Canis lupus familiaris: one gene and its partners. The protein of the gene in region 2 purifies or fractionates together with the protein of the main gene of each other region. This does not show direct contact. Links are inferred from orthologs where the notes say so. Each region holds a gene or a part of one and is shown on either strand. Other genes may lie near its edges. The genes, in order: SIRT1, FOXO1, SIRT2, ATG7 and SKP2.

The links.
Region 1: the proteins of FOXO1 (region 2) and SIRT1 purify together in Homo sapiens (affinity purification with western blotting; 5 studies listed by BioGRID and IntAct, with this or other methods). This does not show direct contact. The link is inferred for Canis lupus familiaris from reciprocal best matches to the Homo sapiens genes FOXO1 and SIRT1.
Region 3: the proteins of FOXO1 (region 2) and SIRT2 purify together in Homo sapiens (affinity purification with western blotting; 3 studies listed by BioGRID). This does not show direct contact. The link is inferred for Canis lupus familiaris from reciprocal best matches to the Homo sapiens genes FOXO1 and SIRT2.
Region 4: the proteins of FOXO1 (region 2) and ATG7 purify together in Homo sapiens (affinity purification with western blotting; 4 studies listed by BioGRID). This does not show direct contact. The link is inferred for Canis lupus familiaris from reciprocal best matches to the Homo sapiens genes FOXO1 and ATG7.
Region 5: the proteins of FOXO1 (region 2) and SKP2 purify together in Homo sapiens (affinity purification with western blotting; 4 studies listed by BioGRID). This does not show direct contact. The link is inferred for Canis lupus familiaris from reciprocal best matches to the Homo sapiens genes FOXO1 and SKP2.

What each region holds. Positions count from the first base shown.
Region 1 is NC_049225.1:19,929,154-19,933,836, reverse strand, and holds part of SIRT1 (NAD-dependent protein deacetylase sirtuin-1), read right to left. Parts: intron 2,159-4,683; coding exon 1,830-2,158; 3' UTR 1,814-1,829; exon of another isoform or gene 43-1,813; intron 1-42. UniProt on the Homo sapiens protein: NAD-dependent protein deacetylase that links transcriptional regulation directly to intracellular energetics and participates in the coordination of several separated cellular functions such as cell cycle, response to DNA damage, metabolism, apoptosis and autophagy.
Region 2 is NC_049246.1:760,438-765,120, reverse strand, and holds part of FOXO1 (forkhead box protein O1), read right to left. Parts: intron 3,525-4,683; coding exon 2,187-3,524; 3' UTR 2,169-2,186; intron 1,495-2,168; 3' UTR 1-1,494. UniProt on the Homo sapiens protein: Transcription factor that is the main target of insulin signaling and regulates metabolic homeostasis in response to oxidative stress.
Region 3 is NC_049222.1:115,013,028-115,017,710, forward strand, and holds part of SIRT2 (NAD-dependent protein deacetylase sirtuin-2), read left to right. Parts: intron 1-2,576; exon of another isoform or gene 2,577-3,915; coding exon 3,916-4,045; exon of another isoform or gene 4,046-4,683. UniProt on the Homo sapiens protein: NAD-dependent protein deacetylase, which deacetylates internal lysines on histone and alpha-tubulin as well as many other proteins such as key transcription factors.
Region 4 is NC_049241.1:7,175,506-7,180,188, forward strand, and holds part of ATG7 (ubiquitin-like modifier-activating enzyme ATG7), read right to left. Parts: intron 1,949-4,683; coding exon 1,790-1,948; intron 1-1,789. UniProt on the Homo sapiens protein: E1-like activating enzyme involved in the 2 ubiquitin-like systems required for cytoplasm to vacuole transport (Cvt) and autophagy.
Region 5 is NC_049225.1:73,261,885-73,266,143, forward strand, and holds the end of SKP2 (S-phase kinase-associated protein 2), read right to left. Parts: intron 3,087-4,259; coding exon 2,873-3,086; 3' UTR 1,190-2,872; downstream 1-1,189. UniProt on the Homo sapiens protein: Substrate recognition component of a SCF (SKP1-CUL1-F-box protein) E3 ubiquitin-protein ligase complex which mediates the ubiquitination and subsequent proteasomal degradation of target proteins involved in cell cycle progression, signal transduction and transcription.

The DNA of each region.
Region 1 (4,683 bases), on a different chromosome or scaffold from region 2:
AGGTGTACAAATTCTCTTTAAAATTTTATACCTTGAGCGATGTAATTTAACAAAAAAGTCAAATGACAATTTTAATAGACTTTTTAAAACAGTGTACAAGTATAAAACACTGGTTTTGTATTTCAAAAGTTGGAGGAAGATATCCAGTCATTAAACAGTCTACAAAACATATGCCAGTAGATTACATAAAAGACTATGTACAATATAAAAAGAGCTGAAAACAGTCTTCACTGTAAAAATAATTTAAAACAAATTTTTCAATTTAAAATATCATCTATAGCACAAACACACATCATGCAAATGGAAAACTAAATATACTGCATTCTTTAGTGTAGCCAAATAAATTCAGATTGAAACATCTTCAAAGTAGGGAAATAATGGCCATTCAATAAAATTTTTCTCTCTGGCAGTAATGGTCCTGGCTGGATATTTTATCCTTAAAGAACAGCTATATTTCAAACCCTTTTTTAAAACTGTAATAAATACTAAAGCAACATTAGGAAGAATACTTTATAATGTGGGAGTAATGTGGGGGAAGGTGTGGAAAATTGCTCTGTGCAATTTTATAAAGTATGAACTTTTTTTTGAAAGGCTAAGAAGCTTCTGCAGTTGACAAAGTTTGATCTCTAGTTTTAAGGCAGGCTAAGCTTTTAAATAAAGATGTTATAGGAACTAGTTTCATTTATTAACTATTCTATTAAAAGTTATTACCATGTTCATCTTCATAATACCAGGCTAGCAGTTTGATGTCTATTACACAAATCCTCCCAACAGGAGACATGTACTTACTGGCTGAGTTATAATTAACATCTCAGTACTTTGGAACCGTAATCAGTGGCCTGTTGCTCTCCTCATTAAGGGAAAAGAAAAGCAGCGGTCCAAAATATTACACTCTCCCCAGATGAAGTACCATTATTATAGATTCATAAAGGCTTTGCATATTCACATATGGGCAGTTTAATACTTGTGGGAAAGAAGCAATGCAAGCTCTACCACAGTGATAGGTATTTAAACAAGGGCAAATATTCTTGAAACTAAGGGTACCCAGGCAGGGACTATTGTTTCTAAAGCAATTGAAACATTTCCAAAGCATTTATTTTTTTTCAGCTTAGTTTTAGGAGCCAATATAGACATTACTACATGTCCACAGGAAGTACAAAAGCCATCTTCAACAATACAGTATTCCTGAAACTCTTAGCACCAAGTCTTACTTTAAAAAGCAAGGACAACTAAGTGCTCTCCCACATATTGTTGACTTCCCTCTATACATACTGCATGTCATGAAATTTTTAAAAAGTTAGCTGCCACAAGTTTTGGAAAATGCCAGTGTTTAAAAATAGGTAATTGTGTGCTAATAAAGAATCAAAAGTTTAGCAGAACAGACATTTAAGGAGTTCAAACCATTCAATGTTACAAAGAAAAGTGTGAAAATACCATTCTTTGGTCTAGATAAGCTGTTCCCTTTACATTAATTTAACATTCCAATGGCTTTTTGAAAACTTTAAAATGTTGAAATTCACTAGGCAAGAACAAAATTATATATACATATGGATGTATCATACAAATGAACCTTTAAAAGAAAAGTCTTGACCAACATGTGATTAAAGATACTTAGTACCCTTCTTTTAAAAAAAGTTAGTGTTGAGTGTACAAGTACAGAAATAAGAAGTTAAAAATTATCCATGAAAAAACAATCTAATTTACCAGTCTATAAATATTACACCTTTCTGGTTTCCTTGCTCTGTTGAATTCACAAGTAAACATTCATTTTGACATGCTGAAATTCCTAATGCTGGTGGAACAATTCCTGTACCTGGACAATTACTACATTATGATTTGTTTGATGGATAGTTAGTATCTGTTGCTTCCTGTTTCATGGATATAGCTTCATTGACTGCCTCTTGATCACCTCCATCAATTCCAAATCCAGTTCCTCCAGCTCTCTCATTGACATCAGCTTCATCTTCCAAACCATTGTAAAATTCTTCAATCTCACTTTCATCCTCCAAGTGTTCTTCTAAACTTGGACTCTGGCAGGTTCCACTATCACTGTTACTGCCACAAGAACTAGAGGATAAGACGTCATCTTCAGAGTCTGAATATACCTCAGCGCCATGGAAAATGTAACGATTTGGTGGTAAAAAGAGATACTGGTTACCTGAAATACAGTAATGAAAGTGAAATGGTAAGTTACTCCCAGTTTTTTAAGACAGTCTGATTATAGGTTCCAGCTCTGCCTTTTAAACCTGAGCATCATTACAAGGGGGCTTATTACTGTAGCGTTCTTCAAAAACAAGCTGCTAAGTGCTCACTCCTAGCTGCAAATCTTAGTTCTGCCACCAACCAGCTTTATAAATTTGGGGAATTAAGCTCTATGCCTCAATTTCCTCATCTGGAAAAGTAAAGAACTATGTTCAATGAAGGGTTACTTAATCAAATCCTCTGAACAGATCTCATGACCTAAAATATCAAGGCCGGCCTACATTACTCAATTCATGTTCACTGAATAGAACTTCTCTAACGCCCGTATTCTATCTTCAAGACACCTTCATTATTTTTATTTAACTTTATGAACCTAGAATTAAAAGGTTTGATTCCGGGATCCCTGGGTGGCGCAGCGGTTTGGCGCCTGCCTTTGGCCCAGGGCGCGATCCTGGAGGCCCGGGATCGAATCCCACGTCGGGCTCCCGGTGCATGGAGCCTGCTTCTCCCTCTGCCTGTGTCTCTGCGCCTCTCTCTCTCTCTCTCTCTCTGTGACTATCATAAAAAAATAAATAAATAAATAAAAGGTTTGATTCCATAATGGCTTCACCACCTATTTAAACGTGTAGTTTGCAGCAATGGCATCACAGGAAAAGTTAGACTCTCAAACCCCACCACCCACCTACTGAATCTGAATCCTAGACATATTCAAGTATGAGAAACACTGATCTAGCATTGGATGTTAAACCCCAATTCCCTCTCAAATTTGCATTCACAGTTTAAGATGTGACCTTTGTTGGTAAGGACAATTCTCTCTCCCCTAAGCTATGGGTCCAGGTTAACAGCACCTGTTAGTAGGAACTTTAAATATTAATGGTGAGGGCAGCCCAGTGGCTCAGCGGTTTAGCGCCACCTTCAGCCCAGGGCGTGATCCTGGAGACCCAGATTGAGTCCTGCATCAGGCTCCCTGCATGGAGCCTGCTTCTCCCTCTGCCTGTGTCTCTCTGCCTCTGTGTGTGTGTTTCATGAATAAATAAAATCTTTTAAAAATAAATATATTAATGGTGAAATGTTTTCTACCTTTGAATTCATAAGAAAGAGTAACTTCTAACTCCTCTGTTTCTTATAATAAATGTCATATTTATTGTACCATATGCCAGAAGGATTCACAAAAGCCTGGCTGCTAATAATTGATCTGAAGTAGATCTTATCTGAAGATATACCTAGGTTTCTCTTTAAAATGGCTTTCAAACTTTGTAAGATCATGACCCAGGTTCTCACTTTACAACAACCTAATATGGGTGTATAAAAATCCTGATATGAATCCGCAAAATTGATTTCACATTCCACTACATCACAAATTACAGTGTGAAAACCACGTTTCCTTCTATTTTCAAAGAATACACAGTACTCTTCAGTTTTCTTAGCTATTTAATATTAATTTCCATGATTGGATAAGAGTACCTGTATTCTAGCTGCTAACAGAAAAACCTATCTGGAATTTCTTAACATTCTTTTAAGGGGTCCTTGCACATGGCTGTGTCCACTTTTCTATAGTTTTTGGCCCATGCTTCAATTTTTTTTAAGTTTTTTTTTTTTTAATTTTTATTTATTTATGATAGTCACACAGAGAGAGAGAGAGAGAGAGGCAGACATAGGTAGAGGGAGAAGCAGGCCCCATGCACCGGGAGCCCGACGTGGGATTCGATCCCGGGTGTCCAGGATCGCGCCCTGGGCCAAAGGCAGGCGCGAAACCGCTGCGCCACCCAGGGATCCCGGCCCATGCTTCTAAAAAATGCTTAAGATTTTATTTATTCACGAGAGAGACAAAGAGTGAGGCAGAGACATACAGACAGAGGGAGAAGCAGGCTCCCCGTGGGACTCGATCCCAGGACAGCAGGATTACAACCTGAGCCAAAAGCATACAGATGCTCAACCATGAGTCACCCAGTTGCCCTAAAATATTATTTTCATTCTGCGTTAGCCCCTTTGATGAACATTATTTCTCAGCCCTTGAATCTCTGTTTGGTTCTGCCTCTTCTTGGGAACCATCAAGACAGATTTATTAAAGTTTGCCTCATATACGCTCCCACTTTCTTTTCAGCCTTGATCTTACCAACAGAAAAATCACAGTAAAAAATTTAAGGACTACTGTGGTAATTCGTTTCTAACAGCTGGAATTTTACACTCTACATGTTACCTTTTTAAATTCTCACAATGCTGAAGTGTATGCTATTTTATTCTCTTTTTAAGATTTAAATTTATTCATGAGAGACACACAGAGAGAGGCAGAGACCGGGAAAAAGCAGGCTTCCTGTGGGGAACCTGATACGGGACTCTATCCCAGGACCCTGGGATCACAACCTGAGCCAAAGGCAGACCTCAACCAATGAGCCACCCAGGTGCCCTATTCCCATTTTTCTAAAAATTTATTTTAGAGAGAGAGAGAGAATACAGGGGAGGAGGGTGGAATTATGCTTT
Region 2 (4,683 bases):
TGAGGCAGAGCTACAAAACCAACCTCCACCTAGACCAAAATAAGAGCAAAGTAGTATGAGGGAAAACACTTGCTAAAGCTCAACTCAAAAAAAAATAAAAATAAAAATAAAAATAAAAATAAAATAAAGCTCAACTCAAAAAGGTTAAGTTGATCAAAACTCCCAATTTGAGAGAAGAGCACGGTTTTAGACACAGGACTCCTTTTCTGATCCACAAACATCACAAGGCCCCTCAGGAGTAACTGAAATGACACAGCACACGGACATTTATCAGAAGACTCAATGCTCTGGCGGTGCACTCAGATCACGGGATAAGAGGAGCAGATGGAATTTCTTTCAAACACGTACATAAAAACATATTACGTTCTCCTAAACATGAAACGCAAAATGTCCACAACTATACATTGCTCTCTTGCCAAAACAGAGCCAGAAACGTTGAGTATGCAAGTACTAATTACAATGATTTTTAAGATTAGTCAGAAACAACACCAAGTAGCATCCCAAAGTGTAAAACCAGTTAAACACGTATAAAATCAGTACTAATCCAGTTAGAAATACAAAATGAAAATTATGGATGCTGCCTCCAATATCTGGGATTCCACAAATTTACAAGCAGACTATGTAACAAAGTAGACTCTAGTTTTAAGAAAACATTACAGTTCAATATCTATTCCAAAAATGATCTCAAGTCCCAACGATAACATCAAAAATCATTTATCCGGAAATTAGAACCATTTAAATGTTTGTACAAATTTGCAAATAACAAAATAAACAAAAAAATAGAAAAGACCTGTACAAGGCTGGCATTTAAACTATTTTTCCCCGAAAGGTGTTTGACGAGTCCATTATTCAGCAGATTGATAACAGGCTATTGGTTCTCATGTGAATTGTGTGGCTGTGTGAACAGGCCCAAAGCTGTTCCACAGAGGCGCAGGATGGAGGAGAGTTGGTTCTCTGTAGTTCATCTGTTCAGCAGAACACAGGTAGCACAAACCAAAGTTTAACTTATCAAAGACATGAGACCATCACAGTATTACAAGAAGAGTATAAACTTTCCTTGGACCAAATGGATATTTAAAAAATAAAAACAAAAACAAAAATACACACAAATACAATTCTGTAGCTACTGCTTATGTACAAAAACTTGAAAGCACACCAGGATCCGAATGTCTTTTCTGCAATTATATGGTGTAGTGAGTTTGGCACTTCATTGTAATGAAATTTCCAATGGCACAGTCCTTATCTACAGCAGCACATAACCTGCAAACATCGGGCAAACTTCCTGTACAGGAAAAGTGTCTTCACTGCCAAGTCTGACGAAAGGAAAAAAGAAACACTTTTCTCTCTCTTTCTTTTCTTTCTTTCTTTCTTTCTTTCTTTCTTTCTTTCTTTCTTTCTTTCATCAAGAAAACGAAAAGGAGGGGTGAAGGACATCTTTGGACTGCTTCTCTCAGTTCCTGCTGTCAGACAATCTGAAGTACTTTTAAGTGTAGCCTAGAAAAAACACACAATGAAAATACAGCCAAATTAAAATCAATTCAATTTAACATTTTAGAGTGACAGACACAGGGGGCAGGGGCACGGTGCTAGGGCTTTTGAAAACAGCTCTGAAATCATTCAGTGGGGAAAACTCTACTTAAGAAAACAAAAAAAGGGATCCCTGGGTGGCGCAGCGGTTTAGCGCCTGCCTTTGGCCCAGGGCGCGATCCTGGAGACCCGGGATCGAATCCCACGTCGGGCTCCCGGTGCATGGAGCCTGCTTCTCCCTCTGCCTGTGTCTCTGCCTCTCTCTCTCTCTGTGTGTGACTATCGTAATTAATTAATTAATTAATTAATTAATTAAAAAAGAAAACAAAAACAAAACAACAAAAAACTGCAGTATTTGATTTACATCAAACATATTCATTTATTGACCAGCTACCATCTAACTGTCAAAAGAAAATCTTTAAAGCAGTCAGAGAGAGGAAGTTTCCTTATGCTTAAGCTCAAAAAGAAAAAAATTCTGCTGCAAAAGGGACAGAGAATGTATGCTAAAAGATGTTTCTCTGTAAGGAACAGCCAGCTGACATCAAAAAAGTCCCAACTATGTAAGGTATGTGGCAAGGTACCGTGTTCCTATCTTTTAAGCTCTGGCTTCAGAAAGTCTTTTGATATTGGGGTGATCTTACCTGTCCACTAACTCACTCTTAGCCTGACACCCAGCTATGTGTCGTTGTCTTGACGCTGTGCGGGAAGCTTTGGTTGGGCAACACATTGTCAAAGTTAAAATCCAAAGTATCTCCATCCATGAGGTCGTTCCGAATGATGGACTCCATGTCACAGTCCAAGCGCTCAATAAACATGCCATCCAAGTCACTGGGGAGCTTCTCCTGGTGGAGCAGGCCCATCCTTCCATAGCCATTGCAGCTGCTCACAGAGGAGTAGGCTCCCAAGGTGTTCATCTGCATGGGGTGGGACAGAGGCACTTGTAAAGCTGTCTTCACTGGGGCCAAGCGGTTCATACCCGAGGTGTGGGGCATGGTGTTGACAGTGTGGGGCAAGGCACGCCCATTAACTGCAGATGTTGGCTGGCTATGTCCAGGGTGGGTGTGGGAGCTGGGGCTCATCATTTTGTTATGAGATGCCTGGCTGCCATAAGTTGACATGACCGAATTAGGGCCCATCAACACATTCTGACCAAGGACCCGGCTGTTGGGCTGGGTGACCCCAGGATCAACTGCTGTCATAATGTCATTATGGGGAGGAGAATCAGAAGTAAGCAACTCCTTCAAGAGTCCTGGTGCACAGTTATACTGATTCATACCTCCAAAGCTCGATTTGTTGTCCTGAAGTGTTTGCATAGGCATCTGGGGCAAAGGACTCATGCTGGACTGACCATATGTATATTTTTGGTAGTTTGGGCTGGGTGAATTCAGACTGGTGTTTGGCGGTGCAAATGAGTAGCATGGTGTCTGTTGCATTATGGTGCCAGGTGAAGACTGGGTTGAAACAGTTAATGGCGTTGGTGATGAGAGAAGGTTGAGATTATCCAGAAGATTTTCCATATTTTCAGGATTGCTTATCTCAGACAGGCTAGGTAGAGTAGAAGCCATCTTTGCAGCAGACGGTGGGTACACCATAGAATGCACATCGCCATCTCCAAGATCATCCTGTTCGGTCATAATGGGAGAAAGTCTCCCACTAATAGTACTAGCATTTGAGCTAGTTCGAGGGCGAAACGTACTCCAGTTATCAAAGTCATCGTTGCTGTGAGAGCCTGGACTCGCAGGCCACTTAGAAAACTGAGATCCTGGGCTGTCCCCAGCACCCTCCTGGCCAGACTGAAGGGATGCTTTTTTCTTAGCAGCTCTGCCCCGGCTCTTAGCAAATTTACTGTTGTTGTCCATGGAAGCAGCTCTTCTCCGGGGGGATTTTCCACTCTTGCCTCCCTCTGGATTGAGCATCCACCAAGAACTTTTTCCAGTTCCTTCATTCTGCACACGAATGAACTTGCTATGTAGGGACAGATTATGACGAATTGAATTCTGTAAAGCAAAACATCATGTTAGAAACACAGTACTTCTCCAGTTGGAATACTTACTATTCAGTGTGTGTGTGTGTGTGTGTGTGTGTGTAAACACACACAAAAAAAATTTGAAGTTTGTGGTACAGATTTCAACCCATACAGGTTCTGAACTCCACTATAAAAGAGCTCAAACCAGTACAAGAAAAATAGTATCTTATCTTAAAAACAGGATCTGTATCTTAATGAAATGAAGGGACAAAATTAAATAAACATATTCTTATTATAAACATATTCTTTTATATGGCTGTATTTTATAGAGCAATTATAGGAACTGGTTTTAAAACCACTTAAATCTTCGCTTAGTTAGGGATCCCTGGGTGGCGCAGCGGTTTGGCGCCTGCCTTTGGCCCAGGGCGCGATCCTGGAGACCCGGGATCGAATCCCACGTCGGGCTCCCGGTGCATGGAGCCTGCTTCTCCCTCTGCCTGTGTCTCTGCCTCTCTCTCTCTCTCTGTGACTATAATAAATAAATAAAAATTAAAAAAAAAAATCTTCGCTTAGTTAATAATGCTATGCAAATAGCACTCTACAACAAAGTGCTATCAAAAATTCTTTCCATTCTATCACCCCTAAAACTACTGCCAATTCTCTTCAGATTGCACATATGCAATTTACAAAAGTGAGAAGTTTTATATTACTGGGCCCACGTGATTATGGGAAAGAAAGAAGTGAAGCAGGATATATTCTTAGTTTAAGAATTAAAAGCTTGAAAACTACTAAGACTTAGATTCCTTTCTACCTTTCAAGCCCATTAGGCCAAAAAAAAAAAAAACAAAAAACAAAAAACAAAACAAAACAAACAAACAAACAAAAAAACACCATTAGGCAAACATAGGTAAATATAAGGCAAACGGGATCATAGTTCCTATTTTAGAAAACCGAACTGCCAAAAAAGGGAAAATTTCAATTCTAGTGTTCTTCACTGCCCCCTCCTCCCCAAAATAACCAGTAGTATGCACCACCTAACTCAAGGTCACTGCATCAGAGGTCCTGCTCTGTCTAAAAAGACACGGGGGAGCGAGGGGACACATGGGACGGGACAGGATGGGATGGGATAGTTACAAAGAGCTCTAGACTTCAGTCACTAAGTACAGCTGTTCAATAACTAAATTGTGCCA
Region 3 (4,683 bases), on a different chromosome or scaffold from region 2:
CTCTCTCAAATAAATAAATAAATAAATAAATAAATAAATAAATAAATAAATAAATAAATCTATCTTTTAAAAAAATGATACCTTAGAACCCAAAATTATAAAAGACAGGGAATCCTTGGATATAAATGGGCGTTCTAATATTTTCTTCCTGCACCTGGCAATTTGGAGCCTGCCAGCCTGGGAAGCTGCCACCAGGGGGAGGATGAATTTGTTTTAAGTCCCAGATTTCTCAAACCGGAACAGGAGCTCCTGCCCAGGGCTTGCAGTGGTGGTGGCCTGGGAAGGGACAGCCTCTCCTTCCAGGAGGACCCCCACTCAGGATAAACCTGACCGTTCTTCCCAGAGTCCATTTTATCCCCATGGCTCAGACATGGTACAAACAGCTCACTCCAAGCCGAGGGCCCCCTGTGCGCGATTTCATGACATCAGCCCCACAGCCCTGTGTTGTCATCTTCCGTCATGAGTGTTTACTGAGCACAAACCCCATGCCAGGCCCTGCTGGCAGCAACATCCCTGCCCTCCTAGAGCTGATAGTCTAATGAGGGGAGAGAGACAATGGACAAGACAATGGTAGCACGTCCAGTGTGCCACGATGTCTGTGGAGCACCATTAAGCGAGAAAGGGGAACTGGAAGTGCTGGGGGTGGGGGGGTTGGTGCCATTGTCAACAGGTATCAGAGAAGGCCTCACCAAGAAGGGGACATTTAGGAAGGGAAGGAGGGAAGGAGGGTGACATGGGATCATCTGGCCGGGAGAGTGTGTTCCAAGCAAAGGGAACAGCCAGGGCAAAGGCCCTGAGGTGAGACTATGTGGTGTGTTCGAGAAGCTGGATCCGGGTGAGCAGAGAGGAGAGCAGGAGAGAATGAAGGAGGCGAGCTCAAGGAGGGGGACAGGGGCTGACCTTGTGGGATCCTGGGGCCAAAGGAAGGGCTGAGTGAGATAGAGCAGGAGGGCTCTACATGGGGTGGGACGGGGTGACCTGAAGCCAGGCATCCCTCTCTGGCTGCAAGTAGGGGGCTGATGGGGAGGGCGGGGTGAGGAAGGGGGTCCTCCGATGTCCAAGTAGAAGAGGCTGGAGGCAGGGGCCAATGAGGGGAGAAGTGTGCGGGTCACGAATCTGCTTCAAAGGTGAAGCCATGTGAGGCCAAAGCCTCCGCCCCAGCACAGAAGCACACCCACGGCGAGCTACCTTCTCATGAAATCCAGCATCGGTGCACTCTGGGGGCCGTGGGAAAGGTGCAGGCGTCTGTCCCCTCCCGGCAATAATTAATGCATGCATTTAGCTACACATACGTCATCAAAACGTATGTTTTGAGGCCTATTACAGAAAACAGAGGCAAAAGTGGAAAAAAAGTTCCACTCTCATGTTTCAAGAAACCATTTTGTTGTTTTGTTTTGTTTTGTTTTGTTTTGTTTTCAAACTTGTCACCCTCTCCATCAACCTCAGCCACTTTTTGAGTCACTGACCCAGTTTTCTGGAACACACTGTCTTCACTTCTTTCCGAATTGTGATGATGTGGCACTTCTGAAGCTATGTACGATAGCTATTTTTATCTCCAGATACAAGTCTCCATTCAAACATGAGAACAGTTGCCCTGTTCGTTCAAGCCCTGTGATCTCCACAGCAAAGCAGCTTATCGTCCTTTTAAATATCTGCATGGCCTTTACCCGCCACATAGGGCTTTCTCTCACTTAACTTCCTGTGTGGAAGACCCTTCCATATCCACACCCACATAGCAGCTTCCTGCTTGCTCTTTTCTTTTCTTTCTTTCTTCCTTTTTTAGAATTTTTTTAAAAGATTTTATTCATTTATTAATGAGAGACACACAAAGAGAGAGGCAGAGTCACAGACAGAGGGAGAAGCAGGCTCCATGCAGGGAGCCCAATGGGGGCCTGGGGACCCGGGATCGAGTCCCCAGGATCCCACCCCAGGCCAAAGGCGGCGTTAAACCGCTGAGCCACCTGGGCTGCCCAGGATTTTATTTTTAAGTAATCTCTCCACCCAATGTGGGACTTGAACTCACAACTCCAAGATCCAAGAATCGCACAGTGAACCAGCCAGGCGCCCCCGACTTCATGCTTTTTCAAAGCTGCCATTGCCTTCGTGTCCATCAGGGGGACACAGTGTTTTAAAACAAAAAAGGGAGCCAAGGTTTAAAAAACGAGATTTCAGATGAAAATCCAGACTTCAGGCTCCTCTTGCAGATTGAGAAGAGCTGGCTACGCCCCACCCTGCCCCGCCCGGGGTCCTCCAGAGTCGGGGAGCGCTGCGCTGGAGCTGGGGGGGCCACTGCCCACTGTCACCATGCCCTGCTTCGTGCCACACACCCCAGCCACATGTCACTTGCCGTTTACCATCATGTGCTCATGACTCTTTGTCCTTTAGGAGGGGGCTTCCTGGGGCCATACCCCCCAGCCGCCAGCCTCTCTCCCCTAGCTGGCTTCTCATATCACAGGGGCGCCTGGGTGGCTCTGTCTGTTAAGCGCCTGCCTTTAGTTCAGGTCATGGTCCCAGGGTCCTCGGATTGAGTCCCACATGGGGCTCCCTACTCAGTGGGGAACCTGCTACTCCCTCTGCCTGCTGCTCCCCCTGCTTGTGCACACTCTCTCTCTTTCTCTGTCTCTCTTTCTCTTTCTCTCAAATAAATAAATAAAATCTTTCCAAAAAATATTCTATACGTAGGGAAACAAGTACACACGTTCATATATAGTTTTCCCACAGCCCTTGTTCTCCTGAGCCTTTTAACCTCTTGGAGGGATCATTTCAACATCAGGACACACAGGTCAGCCTCGTTCTTTTCCAATTTGTGGTTTCTTTATCAAAAGTGGCCTCAGACTAACAGAGGCATCTGAGTAGTTCTTGTACATGCTATATAATTATTTGCACGCACACTGCTTACTCATGTGTGAGGGAGTCAGTAGACTGAGTCAAGTCACAAAGGCAAAACTAAAGCAGGGGGAGGAGGCAGGGGGAGAGCTGCAGGGAGTGTGGGAACAGTGGCTCTTGTCTGCCCGTTGGGGGAACAAGCTGATCGCTGGCAGGGAGCAGAGAGAGCAGTGGGGGCCGTCTGCCCTTGAAAGACAACCCTTTCGGTTGTTCACGGAGTCTCGGGGAAACCGTGCCGGGGTAGCTGGGGGCTACATGTGACCGGCCATCTCTGGGTGGCATGTGCCCATGTGCCCCGTCAGCACCTGCCCCTGCAGCATTCCTCACGGGCCAGCAAAAGCTGCTCCCGAGGGGCTGCGTGCTTTAAGAAAAATGAGAGCGCTCATATGCCTATATGGAAGAGAAGAACAGCCTGGCTGGTTGAAGGAGGGATATACCTGCGTCTGAAAAGAATGCGATGACTGTGCCATCTCTGAAACAGACCGTAGTAAGAAACCCTACTGCTAATTAGGAAAACAGTGATTAAAACCAAATAAACCCTCCCGATTCACTTATTTCTGTTAATGCTTGGCCAGGCCTGCCATATCCAGCTGCGCGGGTTGGCTACTGCACAAGGACGCCACACCTGAGGGGGCTCTATCTACAGCAGAGACATTGTAGGGCTTGTTCGTGAAGGCCAACAAATTTCTGGCAGGTGGCACTAACGTCGTGTGGTCCTAACAAAACAAATTTTCTGAAAAAATGGAAACAAAGTGGCCCGATAATGCGGAAAACCTCCATATGGGCTGATGGTGGCCGTGGGCCTGGGCTCACAGATGTATGAGCGTGGGCCCCGCCGTTAAGCATCTGTGACTTTTACGCTTCGGTGGCACCATGAGATGAGCGGAGGGCTTTACGGGCACACCGTGCCCCTCGTTTCTCCTTCGCTTCCTTCTCCCTCCGTCCCATTTGCTTCTCTTCACAGCGCCCTGCTCCTGCCCCTGAGGGGCCGGCTCGCTGCTGAGCCTTTCCCCCCACCTCTCCCCGCAGAACATAGACACCCTGGAGCGGGTGGCCGGGCTGGAGCCTGAGGACCTGGTGGAGGCCCACGGCACCTTCTACACCTCGCACTGTATCAGCCCCCTGTGCCGACGGGAGTACCCGCTCAGCTGGATGAAAGGTGAGGCCCCGGAGGTCATCCACGAGGGCGGGCCTCCTGCCTCCCGTCGGCTCCCCAGCGCCAAGATCAGGGGCTCCACGCTGTGGGCTCCAGCGGTGTCCTTGCTCTGTGGCCCCCCGAGATCTGAGGCAGCAGCGGGGTCTGCAGCGGGCTCCCAGCACCACCTCACAGCCGGGTTATTAGGGGAGCAAGGTCCAGACCCAATTCAGCCGTACACAGAGATGTGTGTTGGCAGAGAGGTCGCCGGACCGCCATGCAGTCTGTTCTGTGGGGTCTGAGGCCCCGGCCCTTTGTCCTTTGAGGGGCTCTGATCTTACCTTACAAGAGGGGCCCACGGAGGGAGACACAACTGCACTCTAATCCGTACCTGCTCAGTATGGCAGCCGCTGCCACATGTGGCTCTGGAGCGCTCACAGATGTCACTACCGTGACCAGTGGACTGAATGTTTCATTTTCCGTCATTTTTATTAATTAAAAAGTTAAAAGCCACATGTAGCTACGTGCACCATACTGGACAGGACGGGGCTGGAGGCCCCGGATCCGATGGCCCGTTAGTCAGATGCAGGCAAGCATGTTCCGTGGAGCGTGGAGCTGGACGCAGGCCTGGTTAGGGACAAAGGCGGGGGGCGGGGGGGGGG
Region 4 (4,683 bases), on a different chromosome or scaffold from region 2:
CACAGGTAGAGGGAGAAGCAGACTCCTCGTAGGGAGCCTGATGCGGGACTCAATCCCGGATCCTGGTATCATGACCTGAGCCAAAGGCAGGTGCCCAACTGCTGAGCCACCCAGGCATCCCTGAAATTAGTTTTTGACCATGTCCCCCTCTGGACTACAGAAACTCCATGCAGAGAAGAGGGAACTTTATCTGTTTTGTTACCCAATTCCTAGCACACAGAAAACCTTAAGTATTTAATGAATAAGTAAAAGAATAACTGAACAGATAAATAGGGAGGACTGCACTGGATCATAGACTATCTGGACAAGGAAAAATTTCAGGCAACTAGTTAAGTAGCAGAGGTGAGATTCAAAGTCAGGTCTCTCTGGGCCCTGAGGGGAGCTCATAAGACTCTCCAGTGATAGGTTGGATTATTCTTCCCAACCATGCACTGCCTCTCACTAATGTTTTCACTCTTAGCCACATGACTTTGCAGGACCTCCCACTAGGAAGGCAAAGTATACCCCTGGACTTTGGGTTTGGCCCTGTGACCAGCTTTGGCATGGGGATGGAGAATGCTGCATTGTGTCACCAGTGAACTGAGACTTTTAGAGGTATGATACGTTTTCACCAATCCTTTTTCATTTCCACCTTCTATTGTAAGAAGAGCATGACCCAAATGACTGCTGCTCCTCAAGCCTAGATTTTAAAACTATAACACATAGCACAGACTGGAACCTGACTTAAAGACTGGAGTCCAGCTATAGCCACTCTGCAGACCTGTGAGTATGAGATAAATGCTTATAATAATAAGGCACTCTCATGTTAGGACTGTGCGATATGCAATAATGTAGCAGCAACTTAATTAATATGATAGGGTTCTAGCACTCTTATTTCTTTTGGCCTCCAGCACCTAGCTGGGGACACAGTGGGTGCTTAAATAATGGTGTTGAATTAAACCCAATAAATGATGTTCTTCTGGATCAATGATGAAATGGACAAAACCATCAAGTTGCTTCTTTTAAAGCAAAAATTAAAATGAATGAATCTAATACTGAGTAATTAAACAGAAAAACCTTGAGAAAGTGGTCTTTTTTCAAAAATTTTTTTGTTGTTGTTGGTAAGGCTGAGAGCCTCTTGTGGCACTTTAAGTATTAGCAGATGCTTTGGAGACATCTAACCTAACTTCTGTCATATAAACTGATTAAGTATGCAAGATGCACATTTCCTTTTGTGGATGACCTATGAAAAAAACTGGTGAGATTTTGAATTGAATGAGCTGAATGGCTTGTCTCTTATTATTTGGTTTTTTTAAAGTAAATAATGCAACTCAAAAACAACCAGCAGCTTGAGTAAAAAGCTAAATATTTAGCCAGATCTTCATTCTGTGCAGACTTGTATTCAATTTAATTTCATAAAACTGCACTAAGTAACTATCAAGTATTCTGGTAATGAAGGAGAAATAAAATCCTATACCTGAGCTACCAAGAATCCCTTTGGGATAAGGCAGTATATAAAAATATCATACTTCTAAATTCTTCAAATGAGACTCCGATAATGCTTTGCAACTTACAAAAGCATTTTTTTCATACATTCTTCATTTTATTTTCACAATATATGAGTTTTGTTTTTTGATGCCCATCTCTGAGATGAGGAAACAGAGGCCTGGCCATATAATGAAGGCCTGGGTAGTAAGTGACAAATGTCTGACTCTCTTTTACCAATACCACAGGACCTTCATTGCCCAAGATTAATCAGTAGGAAACTACAGGAGACAAGCTCTGACGTTCCCAAACAACATCAACGTACCACTCCAGGGAATATTTTCTGAAGCCGGTCTGCTGCAGCCAGGGCCTTGGGTTTACCACCTGCTAGGCAATCTTCAAATTCATAGAGAGGCTGCCTCACAGGATTGGAGTAGGAGATATTGGCGTTGTCCACAAATGTGATGTGTCTGACACCCCAACCCTGCATGGAAACAAGAGATCATGGTGTGTTTCTGACAAACATGTCACAGGGTGTCTCTCTTGAAATCCCTAAAAGAGGTTTTGCTTTGGAGTAGCTTAGGAACTTCAAAATACAGGAAACTTCAGAAAAAGGATTGTGCAAATTCAGTTTTTGATCAACGGAGGGTCAACTTCCTTTAAAAGACAAAATAATTATATACCCGGTGCCTGGTTTCCTGCAGTAATGAGACTAAGAAATGTCAGAGTGGGTCTGACTAATAACTCATTATTTTTGACAGTAACACCAGAGAAAAATTTGGAGGTAAGTCCCATAGGAATTGTCTAAGCTGTTGTCTTAAAAGGATTAGCAATGAGCCCCCAAATGTCCTTGCTTTCCCTTAATGAATAATTAAGTATAAATAACAGCTCACTTAAAACTCACTTAAATCCTGAATTAACTCCTCAGAAAAATGACTTCTGAGTTATTTCCCATTGTATAATGTCATAGAAGATTTTGGCTACAAAGCTGATTCTGCTCTCTCTTATTTCAATATCCTTCCAGCAGAGACTCAGAAACTCAGTTAAACTGATGTTTCCAAGGGGATGGTCAACAAGAATCCAAGGTTCATTTTCAGGGTTGAGGACAGGCCAGAATCTATCTTTTCAAAAGCACAGTTATCTGTGTTGAAAGCCCACTGGTAAACTTGGTCTACTCATCCAGTTTTTGTTTTTTTTTTTTTGTTTTTTTTTTTTATTTATTTATTAATGAGATACAGAGAGAGAGATGAAGGCAGAGACACAGGCAGGACAGGCTCCATGCAGGGAGCCTGACGTGGGATCTCCAGGATCACACCCTCGGTTGAAGGTGGCGCTAAACCGCTGAGCCACCGGGGCTGCCCATACTCATCCGGTTTTATAAGTGACTTTTACCAGCAAAGCAATCTACCGTGGAGGCAGAATAAAGATACGGAAAATCCCTCTCTCTCTGTGTCTCTCATGAATAAATAAAGAAAATCTTAAAAAAAAAAAAAAAAGACACAGAAAATCCAAAAGTCACTTGTGCTTGATTTGGACACATTTATTTCTTTTTTCTTTTTTTAAGATTTTCTTTATTTATTCATGAAAGACACACACACACACACAGAGAGAGAGAGAGAGAGAGAGGGAGAGAGGGAGAGGCAGAGACACAGGCAGAGGGTGAAGAGGCTCCATGCAGGGAGCCTGATGGGGGACTCCATCCTGGGTCTCCAGGATCACACCCTGGGCTGAAGGTGGCACTAAACCACTGAGCCACCCAAGGATCCCCGACACATTTATTTCTGAAGTATTTTTACATCCCTTAAAGCAATGCTGAGTGGAAGGCAGTCTAGGAAGATGCTGGGCAAAGGAAAGAAAGCCAAGTAAATTACAAACAGGCCATGGGTTAGCCACATCCAGGGGGGCATTCACACTCAACTTTTGGCTTCCTGGAATGCTAACACAGTTTAAATAGCTAAGATTAAAGAAAACTGTAATAGTCAATGCTGGTGAGGATGTGGTGATGAAAAGCTATTGTACTGGATGAGAATATAAACTGATATAATTTTTCTGGAAAGCAATTTGGCAATATGTTTCTAGAATCTTTCAAATGTTCATATCTTTTGGCCTATTTGCAGCAATCTAACCTCAGTAAATACTTCCAGCAATCTACCCTAGGAAGCAATTTGAAATATTAACAAAAATGTTCCACAACATAATTTGCAGTTGTAAAATACTGGAAACAATGTTAATGCTTACCATAAGAGGAGTATCTTAGAACATTACATTTCATCATATAAGAAAGCATATTCTAGGGGATCCCTGAGTGGCTCAGTGGTGTAGCACCTGCCTTCAGCCCAGGGCGTGATCCTGGAGTCCCTGGATCAAGTTCCGTATTAGGCTCTCTGCATGGAGCCTGCTTCTCCCTCTGCCTATGTCTCTGCCTCTCTCTCTCTCTCTCTCTCTCTCTCTGTGTCTCTCATGAATAAATAAATAATTTTTTTTAAAAAAAGCATATTCTATAGACATTAAAAACGCTTTACAGGCATTATTTTTAATTACATGAGAAAGTGTTTACAATGTTAATAAATAAAAGTGAAGGGCATTATATAAATCAAATAAGATTTTTAAATATATATTTAACAAACATTAAAGGAAATAAGTGAAAAAGTGGTAAGAAAATGGGTGTCTTCTTTTTCTGCTTTATAACTTTTACACTTTACAAATTTTCTATGGTAGATTTCCAATGACTTTATAATTCTCAATAATGCTAAGAAAACCTAAACACCTAATTCTGGAAGCCAGAAAAAGAACACAAAATAAATTTCACAAAAAGAGGAAGATATTAATGAAGATAAAAACAGATATTAATGAATCTGAAAGCAAAACAAAACAAAACAAAAACAAAAACTATAAAACTAATAAATAAATCAAGGACTGAGTCCTCCAAAAAGACTGATAAGACAGACAATCCTCTCTGGAAAGTCTGAATAATAGGAAAAAGGAGAAAACGTAAACATGCAACCTTGGGAGTGAGGAAAGATTTTTTAAAAGACAGAGTTTTAAAAGATGCTAAGAGAGTATTATATGTATTTTGTGTCAATATATTTTAAAATTTAGATGAATAAAATAAATAATATTCACAAAGGAAATAAAATTAAAGATATACTCTCACTAATAAAAGAAACAAATTAAAAAGCTCTGTTTTGTACATGGTTCTAAAAGTACAGGCTAGTAAAA
Region 5 (4,259 bases), on a different chromosome or scaffold from region 2:
GGTGCATGGAGCCTGCTTCTCCCTCTGCCTATGTCTCTGCCTCTCTCTCTCTCTCTGTGTGTGACTATCATAAATAAATAAAAATTTAAAAAAAAGTACTTTAAAAAAAAAGAGGTAATTGAGGATTTAAATCACTAAAAAATTCATTCAGTTTTGCCAATGTACCAATAATATGTGCATCATTATACTTAGGGATAGTACCTACCAAGACAATGCGTAAAAAAGATCCCAGGGATAATATGACATATAAATGATATAATGAAAAAAATTAAATTGGTGGGCGGGAAGGGATAACAGTAATATACAGATGAACTGCTGAGCTACAAGGAGAAATGGTTTCTTTCCAATGCAGTATATTCTCGACTTTAACATTAAAAATAAGCATGAGGGGATCAGGGCATAAGTCAACAAGAAGGCTTATTAAGTTTTCTACGTTAAGGAAAACATGAGTATTTGTTTTTAAGTGTCATGGACCTGAAGATACATTTTTAAGAAAATTACTGACAAAATAAAGAGGAACTAAAGAGAAAATTAGGAAAGAATATTTTAATTTGAATATTTTATAGGAATACTCAGTAAGGCATGGGTCGGAACTAATTCTATTCCTCTTTTTAAAAAAGATTTATTTATTAGAGAGAGAGAAAATGCAGCAGGGAAGGGCAGAGAGGAGGGAGAAAGAGTCACAAGCAGACTCCACACTGAACATGGAGCCCATCCTAGGACTTGATCTCACTACCATGGCAATATTACCTTCAGTCTAGGGCTTTTTGCTGCTGAACCTATGGAAATAGGGGACAGATTAATGAGAGTAAGATATATAGTATGAGCTGGTCCCGTCTATATTTAAAAAGTCCTACTAGCTGCCTTTTATTAGTACTTTAGTATATTAATCACTTGAATTTCAAATGTTTTATAAATGTTACTATTTTAGAAGCACTTTAAAGAATAAACCTGTACTTAGTACCTTCTCAGAAAGCATTCACACTATCATTTTAATTTGACAAAAAGCATATGATGTGGATGGAACAAAGGGGACCATTGTTGGGGTCCTTTTGTAGCCATAACCAGAGGGCTGGGACCAAAGACACCCCAGACGAAATGCTAATTTTAACCACAGTACTTAGGGAAAAAAAAAAAAAAAGAGAGAGAGAGAGGGAAAGAACAAAAGAATACAACTCAGCGGAAGTACTCATTTTTATAAAAATTGTTTTATTTTAAAACAGGTGTATAAAAGTAGAAATCACATACAAAAATACAGATCACTCTGACATGTTAGCAAAATAGCTTATGGCTGGACTTGAGTTTGGAAGTACTGTACATTTGAGGGCATCTGGAAATCACAGCCCAATTGGGTACTATCATCAGCCCTTGTCACTAATCTGTAAACAATAATTTCATGTAGTATATGTAGCACTTTTTAATCAGTACAAAATCAAAACATAATTATTTCCTGCATAAGACCACTTTAAAATGTTCCTCCTTAGGTCTGGGCAGATAAGGGCACTTCAAATCGTTGTTTCTGACATTTGAAGAATCTGATTTAAAAACAATTAATAGAAATAACAGGTTTTAGCTTTTTTGTTCATTTTGAACATATGGGAAGATCAATTTAAATTAAAAAATTAGTGTTTTGTTTTAAAGTAGAATTTAATCCTTTTTCTTCTAGACATTATTAAAAAAAAAAAATAAAAGCACTGTTGTTATCAAAAGATTCCACACCTGAGTCTTAACCTTGATGTCATTTCAAGTTGTCTCACTGCTTAGAAACTGCATGGAACTCACACCTACTTCTAATGTGTATTTCTGAGTGAATGAACATGTAGTTCTTCTTGGGCAACTCCATGTCCGGTAACTTTAGAAAATAATGACTTTCAATTATTGTGGGGGACATTTTTTTTAAAAAGGCAATTGAAAATACTTGATTCCAGAGTAATATAAAAATAACTTCAAGAACTTGGACAATAAAGGAAAAATGGCAGGGAACTTCAGTTTGGCATTCCATCCAACATTTCAAGAATAAAGACTGACCAGCTACTAGCATCTGTCTGAAACAAAGCGAGCCATTTTAAAAGCGAAAGAACCCATGTTAACGTCATTTGATCACAAAGTTAGAAGACCACAATTATATTTCCTCAGCTAATTCGGAATTCTGCGAGCACATGACATTATGGAAACTTCACTGATGTGCATGAGAAGATACTTCAGATTGACCTGTCATAGAAAACTGCCTCTTGAGCTTTCAAATTCTCTACCAATTCTTCACCTCTGATTGGTCAGTCATTTGTCATTTAGTGTGAATTGCCCAGAGCTATTTGTTTCCATGAACCTAATTTCATATCTACAGGCAAAGCTGAAATGCGTATTTTTCTATCTCCAGAAGAGGTTGCCACAAATGCTACTATCCTATGATTCTCCTTTTGTTCCGTTCACAACACAAACACTTCTAGCAGTCTATGTCTCATAAAGCAATACTGAAAAATTAAATAGAAGTCACCATATAGATTGTGAGAACGATTTGCTGGTGGTGATTCTTACGCTTGATTCTAAATAGATTTAATAAGAAGGGCACTTGAAAGAGGTGGCTCAAATCTTGCTGCTTAAGGCATCCTGAAATTACAGGCTCTCCTAAAATTCCCAAAGGCCTTAAACTTAGGCTCCTAAGTGTACAAAAGCAGTGACCGAAGCTTTTCTGGTTATTTAGAAAAAGCAAAACTTCATAGTCTTCTCTCTCAAACGGCTGTCTAACATACTTGCAGAATGAAGGCAAAGGGAAAACCAAGAATAAAAACAGCTGAGTGCTCCAGCAAGCAGGCTTCCTGCCTATTTTCCCTGTTCCAAAGAAAAGAGGAGACACCATCTTGTGATAAATACTTCATAGACAACTGGGCTTTTGCAGTGTCAGCCGGCATCGGATGCCCCATATCTCCTGGTTCTTTTTGTTGCCGGTGGTCGGCCTGGCGATGGTGGTGAAATGGGAACCATTAATCTGCAGATGAGGAAGGGCTTCTTTTAACAGTTGAAGGGTACCATCTGGCACGATTCCAAAAACTTGTAGTGTTTTTAGTGTGGGGATTTCTCCAAGTTCACTGGAAAGGAAGAGAGACTTCTCAGAATAGCAGTATCTATGGTAACTGATCCACCAGAGTTACATGACCCAATTTTTACCATTTGTTTTATATTCTACAAAATGCAAACTGAAAACATAATTTGCAATCAATGATTTGAGAAAATAGAATAGATGAATCAAACCAGAAAGCACAGACCTTTCTGTGCTCGGACAACATGGCCCCAGGACCCACGCAGGCGCATTTTGTTAAATGTTTTCTCACAATCTAAAAATGCTGAGATTTCTTTAAAATCCAACCATAGTTGCTTCCTTTTTCTATTCTCTCTCTTTTTTTTTTTTTTTTTTAATATTTATTTATTCACGAGAGACATAGGGAGAGGGAGAGGCAGAGACACAGACAGAGGGAGAAACAGGCTCCATGCAGGGAGCCCGACGTGGGACTCAATCCCGGGACTCCAGGATCCGCCCTGGGCCAAAGACGGCGCTAAACCGCTGAGCCACCCGGGCTGCCCATCCTTTTTCTATTCTTGATCTAAAACTGAAAGGAGTTCAAGTGTCATGAGAAGCTGGGAGCCAGTGATGGCAAAGAATCACCACAGGTTACATGTAATTCCAAAATATGGACTTGACCTTTATTTGAACCAGGCTCTTTCAAAAGAGGAGCAAGAGAAGTTAAAGTAACTTCTTAGTAGGTCCATTACCTGTGATAACATCTAACAGCGACTTTGCTATGGTATTTAGGACAGGGCTGCGTAGGTGGGTGCAGATGGGAGTAGTTGGGCACAGATGGAGAAAAGGATTGATTAGTCACACCTTTTCTACGAGAGGCAAAAGCCATCTGACTTCTTTACATATTTTTTATTTTTTTGGTCACATATATGCCAATCCTCTTCTTAGCTATTTCCCATTAAGTGAAATACAACTCTGTCAACAGAGAAATTCTGGTCCACAAAAAAGAGAGCCTGTTTCCCCAAAGCAAATACTTTTAGGTAATGATTCTTTCTTCTTAGCTCAGATCTATGTGCTTAGGAATTCATCTCTCTGATCTGTATTTGCTCCAGGTTGGGACACACAGTACAAAGTCTTAGGAAAGGGAATATTTAGTTTGGAATATCAACAAAATCCCACTACAGATCAATGAACACATCAATGACCTAGAGTTAGAAGCATCCTTTATATTTTCATATTGCCG